2 linked regions of the Macaca mulatta genome follow. The protein of the gene in region 1 interacts with the protein of each later gene in a pairwise test. Links are inferred from orthologs where the notes say so. Each region holds a gene or a part of one and is shown on either strand. Other genes may lie near its edges.

What was found. The genes of interacting proteins can lie anywhere in the genome.
Region 2: the proteins of DMRTB1 (region 1) and IL16 interact in a two-hybrid assay, tested with the Homo sapiens proteins (2 studies listed by BioGRID). The two-hybrid records come from large-scale screens. The link is inferred for Macaca mulatta from reciprocal best matches to the Homo sapiens genes DMRTB1 and IL16.

What each region holds. Positions count from the first base shown.
Region 1 is NC_133406.1:187,151,236-187,154,444, forward strand, and holds part of DMRTB1 (doublesex- and mab-3-related transcription factor B1), read right to left. Parts: intron 319-3,209; coding exon 105-318; intron 1-104.
Region 2 is NC_133412.1:59,422,864-59,427,148, reverse strand, and holds the start of IL16 (pro-interleukin-16), read right to left. Parts: upstream 2,890-4,285; 5' UTR 2,410-2,889; coding exon 2,370-2,409; intron 1,969-2,369; exon of another isoform or gene 1,842-1,968; intron 1-1,841. UniProt on the Homo sapiens protein: Interleukin-16 stimulates a migratory response in CD4+ lymphocytes, monocytes, and eosinophils. Primes CD4+ T-cells for IL-2 and IL-15 responsiveness. Also induces T-lymphocyte expression of interleukin 2 receptor. Ligand for CD4.

The sequences.
Region 1 (3,209 bases):
CACGTCACTTCTCTCCACACCTAAACTTTCTTCAGATTAGGTACCTCTTCCTCCAGAAAGTCTCCCTGGCTCTGGCAGAAGCTGGAAGACTGGAGCTCACTCACCAGTGTTCTCCTTGTCAGTATCAAACAGGACGGTCAGTGAGAAAGATGACGGAGGCGGTGGTGGCGGTGGCGGGGGGAGGAAGTGGAGCGCAGAGAGGTAGCCTGGCGGGAGGAACTGGGGCTGTGGTGGAAGTGGTGGAAGTGGTGGAAGGGGCGGCAGTGGTGGCGGCGGCAGGTAGTAGCTTGGCTGGAAGTCTCCCACTGGTTCTGATGCCTGCACAGCACGCACAGCAGAGAAGCAGAGTGGAGAGAGAGTTAGCCAGATGGGCTGACCAAACATAGCTCTCACCCCCGAAGTGGGGGGCTCCTGATGGGGAGATGCATGGCCCCAAACACACAGGCACAGGCACTCGGAAGGCGGCATTCAGCAAACACCTGCCAAATTATTGAAGGCAAGAAGGAATACAGGCAACCTAAGATAAGCATGGGAACAGCTGAATGGTCACAGTGACAGAGCCCTTCTGTATATGCCAGGGCGACTGTGCTCACAATCCTAGGAGGGGGTTCTATTACTATTCCTGCTGTAAAGATGAAAAAATAGGTTCAGTGAGATGAAACTACAGGCCCAGGGCCCCAGAGCTACTTTGTGGTTAAGGGCAGAACTGGATCTCAAGTTGGCTGACTCCACAGCCCACTCAGCTGTCCAGCGCTGCTCTGCACTGGGGAAGGGTCTGAATGCATCCCAAGCCCACAGGACCCCCTGTCTGGCACATGTGGTCACTTAAACTCAAGTGCCAGCGGGGCCTTTGGGAGAAGAGGTTGGCAATGTGGGTGTAGAGCAGCTGTTTCTGAAGCAAGATACGCTGGGTGACTTCAGACAAGTGGCCTCACTGATCAACATTTTGCTGCTTCTGTTCCTTCTTCAAGGGATAGAATCCAATCCCTTACCACAGCACAGGGACCCATCACAGGATCTGGAGGGGGGATGACTACACAGCTCAGAGCTTAACCGAGAAACACACAAATGTCGTAAGAAATAATACTGAGTTTTGGATGTAGTTCCCGCTGTTTACTTCTCTATCTAGATGCTTCAGAGCAACACTTCCTGAGCTGAGTTTCATGGAGTCCTGGTGTCTTACAAAGTATTTTTTAGTACTCTAAAAGTGTTATTTGTTAAGTGACTTTGAGAAACCCCATATACTGTTCCCCACATTAGTGGGTCACACATGAGCATATTAAAGGCTTGGAAGAGTCTGCAAAAATCTCCTTAGATTAACCCAGCTAACCTGGTTGAACTTCATTCAACCACCAGGAAGGGAAGAAAGCCCACTTTTAAGTACCTACTATGTGCCAGACCCTGTGCTAGGTATTTTACATGCATCACCTTATGTATTCTACTCAGGAGCCCTAATAGACAGGTCCTCCCACCCCCACTTTACAGACCAAGACCTGAGTGAGGTCCTCAGAGGTCAGGTAACTGCCATGGGTCACATGGCTGGGACACGATGGAGAAGGCAGGATTGGACCCTAGGTCTGCCCAGCTCCACGGCCGGTGCTGTCCTGTGAACAGGAGAGCAGAGGGAGCCAAGCAGCAGCAGATGGGCAGGGACAGGAACAGGAAGGAGGAAGCTGTTCTGGAGAGCACCTCCAAGCCTTGGCAGGGGGCAGCAGGACAAGGATGAAAGTGATTCAGGGGCTCTTGGGTTTGAAACAGCTCACAAATCAATGCCTGATTCTCTCTCCAGACGTGAGAGGGTAGAAGGGGGATTATTAGTGCTTTAATTCCGAGCTGCTCAGCCAAGCATCTCCCTGGATCACAGCTCCTGCCAGGGGCCTGTGGTGGCAGCTTGGGCCCAGATAAACTGACTGAGATCACACTCTTAACAAAGGCCGTCTGGCAGGCCTGTCAATCAGAGCCCTGCCCTGGACGCCAGGCTCCAGGCTTCTGTGTGAGCAGACGGAGCGTGCTCTACTTGGCCAGAGCCCCTCTCTTTGTGTGGAGGCTGGAGATGCCTGGCTCTCCCTGGGCAGTGCCCACAGATGTCAGGCAGGCAGCAGTGCTGGTGTGAGTAAAGGGCCATGTGTGTTCTACCTCTGTGGGAGAGAGGGAGGGGCAGTGGAAAGCACCTAGACCCCAGACCTGACCTGGCTCTGTCACCAACCAGCTGTGTAACTGGAATCCTAGTCTCTCTCTCACCAGTTTTGTGACCCTGGCCAAAAGCTTAACTTCTCTGAGCCTTTTTTTCTCAATGCTACAATGGGGTACAACACCTACCTTGAAGGTTCAATAGGCACCCTGGAATTATCAAGGCCAGTGGCTTTCAAACTTTTTTCCCTTGAATCAGTGGAAAATGATTTTTAAGCACAATTTTACAACATCTAAGACAAGTGGAAGAGAAGCTGTTGCCGCCAGGCTGAAGCAGGAGTAAGGACCCAGTGACCTGTGTGCCCAACATGCCCGGGTGCAGCTCGAGCCCCATTGGACTGGCTCCACACTGTGTGGCTAATGACTTTCATTAGGGAGAGAGAGGGCTTTCAGCCATCCTAGTCTGGAAGGAGCTGGTAACCAAGGCCATAAAACTCAATCACACCTACCTCGTAGTACACACCACAGGGGTGAACTGACTTTACACACTCGGTTCTCAAAATTCCCAGCTTAGACAGAATACCAGCTAACGACTGACCTTTACTAATCTTATAAAAGGATTAAATTTCATTCTTTCAACAGGTATTTCCTAAAGTGTCAGGTGTTTGGGGGAAGGTTTCCGTATTTTTCATGACTCAGTTCAAATGCCACCTCCTCCTGAAAGCCCTCTGCAGTCTCAAGTGTGCTCTACCTGTGGGCAGGGAGTCTACCTCTGGTCCTGACTCTGCCTTAAATTTTGTGGTCCCAGTAAGGTGATATTACCTTTCTGGAGTCCAGCAAAATGAAGGGCCCTTCCAGCATCAGCATCAGTCAAGGAAGGGGTCACCCTGAATGCTCAGAGTCTTTCAGCCCACTGCCCTGAAAAGCACAGGCCATAGCCCAGGCCGAGTGGTGCAGACTGGTCCACACGTATGCTCCCAGAGACACACACACTGTGTCTGGGCAGTGCCTAAAGCCATCCACCAGCACTCGGGGGCTGGCATGGAGTGGGCACACAGTTTATGACAGCTGGCTTCCTG
Region 2 (4,285 bases), on another chromosome or scaffold:
AAATAGGAAATTAGGAGGAGACAGAGAGTAATAAAACTACATCCAAGTTTGTCCCGGGCAACATTACATAGCTCTTAACTATCAAAGACATATGGCAGTGTCTCATGTGGTTTTACTTTTTTTGAGGGGGGAGAAATGTTGTGGGAGTGTGGGGGAAGGTGTGCAGCAGAATCCTCCTCAAACCCTATGCCCCACCCTCCAGCCCTACGCAGAGCCTCCCTCTGCTTCCCATAGGCCCAGCCCCTCCTTGCTGACAGCTGGCCAAGTCCCAAGGATCCCCAGGTATCTCGATTCATATTTCCCAGCAGGAGTCAAGGCACCTACGGTGGAGACCACAGGACCCAACTATTATTAAGGACACATCCAACCACCATGGCCACATGCTCAGAATCTGCATATGTGAAATAGCAGAGCTGGAGTGTTGTTAGGGGCCATCTCTAGTCCAACACCCTTCCATCCACTTTATAGACGGGGACACTGAGTCCCAGATATGGAAAGGGGCTTATCCAAAGTCACACTGCTATGCAAGGATTTAACTGGACAGGTGTCCCTGCATGTGAATGCCCAGTCTTCTAACAGCCTAACTCAGAGAAAAGAAGGGACTGCATCAAATGTATTGAGTAGATGATGGGGCATCGCCCAGATAAGCTCCTCAACCCTGGACCGAGGCGTTCATTCCCACAGCTGGCATAGGGTTGTCTGTGACAACTCACAACTGAGTCCCTCTCCAGAAACTACCTTCAGCCAAAGACAGCTGCCTCGCCCAAGGTTATGCCTGGGTTCCAGGGGCAGCCCACAAGCAATGACTGGTCACTGCAGGGATACAAAACCCCACAGGATCCCCTGGATCTGCTGAGGCCGGTGTTGCAACTGCATCACAGCCCAACTTCTCCATCTGTCTGATTCTGCCTCCCTCACCCCACACTGGTGTTGTTCCCAGAGCACACACCAATGAACTTCGTATGTGCAAATCTCTGTCTCACCATCTGTTACCAGGGAAACGCAACCAAAGGCGGTGCAGCCAGGGTAGGAAGTGGTAAGACCTCCCCGTGAATCAGAGTGAATAAAATGGTTTCACCAAACACTGAGCACCTAGTAAATACCAGGTCAAGTCCCAGCCTCAAAGATCCCCAGTGGAAGTAAATGCATCCATGTCGTCTGCCTCCAAAGGGAGACCACCTGAATGCTCACCCCACTTTCTGCTACACAAAGAGCCAGGGCTACTTTGGGCCCTCAAGTACTCTTTTCTTCATCCTCAAGCCTGTATATCTATGATGGTTGCTGTTTCAGAACAGGGGAGCAGCCTGCTTAGGAGAGCTGACATGTCCTCTGAATATGTACATGCCATTTGGGTCATTTCACATACTTTATCTTAGTTATTGTTTCTGCCTTCCTGTGAGGTAAGAATTTATGACCACCGTTGTGCAAAGGAGGAAAGTGAGCCTTTGAAAACCTTTTCCCAGGTAAAGGAGCCTGTTACCTTCAGAGCCAAGATTCCATCCCAGGTGGCCACGCCCCATGGCCCAGGTTCTTATTCCCTATACCCCACTGCCTTTCTTCAGACTTCAGCAGATGCCTTAATGCAGCCTAAGCAAGTGGATGCCAGGGTTCCAGCCATGTCTTTCTGGAGCTAGAAAAGTCAGAATATGCCTTTGACTTGCTTACTTCTCCTTTTTAAGGAAAACTCTTATGCCAAAGTTGCAACGGACCTGAAGTTTCGCCAGTGTTAACTTTAAAAGTTGGGCAGAAGGGTTAAAACGTTTTGCTCTGATGCCTGTTTATGTTTCCAGAGCAAAGGAAGAAGATCGTAATAAGAAATGCTCTCATCCATTGGGCTGTACCTGCAGGAAGGTAGGGGGTCTGGATGGAGGCCCCTCCCAGCTCTCAGATCTTCTCCAGAGACCTGCGCTCCGTTCACTTCTCCCGGAGCTGAGCAGCTCCCTCTTCCGCTCCGCTTCTGCTGAAACTGGAGCGGAGCTGGTGGGGACCCTGACAGCTACAGCGTTTTAGACACTGATGCCTCTGCCCCATGAAGAGGAAGCCAGGGCACACGGAAAGCCACTGCCCTGGCCAGGGTTCACTCTCATCCCTGGGGGGTCCTGCAATTGCCCTTCCTGAACTCTCTGCCAAGCACATGGTAAGCATTCAGCCAGCCTCTGCAAAGACAGGCATTGTGTCCTACTGCAGCACACATGTGTGCCCCCACACACTTACATGTGAGCACACACACCACTGACACACTCACTCATATACTACACAGTGTGGCCAAAACCATGCTTCCACTCCCCTGGGAGGTCGTCAGGAAGGGTCCACCCCTGCATTCCAACCTCCCCTGAGTCCCCTGGGATAGGAGAAGCAGCTCCACTCACCGTTCTGCCTTCTCGGGAAGACTCTCTTCTGCAAACTCATCACACAGGGTTTGAAGGAGGGAGAGAGAGTTGTCAAAAGTTCCTCCAAACCAGGATCAGGGGTCCATGGGAGGGTCGATGGCAGCTTCTCGACTGGGAGTATTTGAATATGAGTTAAAACTACAAAGTAACTCCTCGTTACAACTGTTTTTTTCCTCGGCAGGGAAGGAGAAAAAAAAATCCCTTTCCCTCTGCCAGAAAATCTTTAACGTTTCACAACGGTCGTTTCCAACTCCTGCCCTCCTTGAGAAGCAAATGTGTATAAAAGCAATGTTATTTCACTGAATCAAGCCCTCAGATCATAAGCCTTTTCCTGTACCACAAACAGAAATGTAAAACCTCAAACTTTCCTTTGGACTTGGAGTCTGTTGTGAGAGGGCAGAACACAACCCTTTCTGAGGTCTAATGTATGGAAAATGTGCCGCACTGTTTAGATCATCGCAAGCACTTGAATCTCTGCCCCTCTCTTCTACTGTGTGTTTTTTTTTTTTTTTTTTTTTTAATGAGTTCTGGTGTGTTTATGTAATTGCATGGGACAAACACAACACCTAAAATCCTTGCCCAAAGTTGAAGTGATTCATTTTCTCCTTCACACACACCACACACAAACACAGTGCCTGTTTAATCCAAGTGAAAACGCCTTTCATAAAATCTGCAAAGAGCTTGGGCAGAGAGACCCATGGTGAATGCAGCCTGTGTCCTGAGAAGGGCAACTGGGCTCGGGGGAAGGTGGAGGCAGACTTTAATCAACACAAACAGAAGGCGCTCTGACTCCTGCCATGCCAGGACAAAAAAGGGATAAATGAAAAAGGGATTTGGGCTCTGGGTAATGGTGCTGTAAAATGTTTTCAGCCTACTCTATCCAATTTCCTCTGCTTGCCTTCTCATACCAGGACATTTTATTTTTGGACTTGGACAAGATGTACTATTATTTAAAATGACCAATTTGACCGCTGGGTTAAATAAATCCTTGGATCACCGTTGGAAAGACCAAAAGAATATACAGTGAGTGGGCAAACAGAACTGAAACCTGAGAAAGTAATATCCACCCCTCTAGTGGAAGAGTGTGATGATTTTCTGGACATAGCAGTGTGAGACTGAATGGAAGGGAAAGCCTGCTCTGTTTGATAGAGAGAGAAAAACTTACCAGGAAAGCAAGTGAGACAGATCCTGGTCTAGTCCCTGAGTTATCTGTCACCAGCCAAGGGCCCCAGGTGTTTTTGGGATGGACCCCCTGCCGTGGTGCCTCTGCTACCACTCAGGGCTCCAAAGAATCGTGGCCACTGGCATCACCATCACTCTGCTCAATCCACTGCCGAGACACTGTGACTTTCCTATTCCCTCCGCACCCCTCACCCCCATGCAAACATGCTTTAGATAATCATTTCTCAAGGCAGTGCTACAGGTTGCCAGAGAAACTCTGCTATCAGCACCTGGAGTCAGAACAGCTCCCTGAGAGCCATCATCACCCCTGGGTGAAGGTGGGGACCCCACACTGGCACTTCGTGGCCCTTCCTTACTCTGATTATTGAATGAACTGCCCAGGCTCTGAAACTGCAGGATGCTGCAGCTGTGCCAGGAGCACTGTGAGGGCCAGAAACTGGCCTTGCATGTTAGTGGTACCCAACGGCAGCAACAACAGGCAATAGGCTAGACAAATTCTGGGAATACTCTGCAGATATTAAGATGATGTGAGGCCGGACACCATGGCCCACGTCTGTAATCTCCGCACTTTAGGAGGCCGAGGTGGGTGGATCACCTGAGGTCAGGAGTTCAAGACCAGCCTGGCCAACATGGCAAAACCCCGTTTCTACTAAAAATACATAAATTAGCTTAGTGTGGTGGCGTGTGCCTGTAATCCCAGCAGCGTGGGAGGC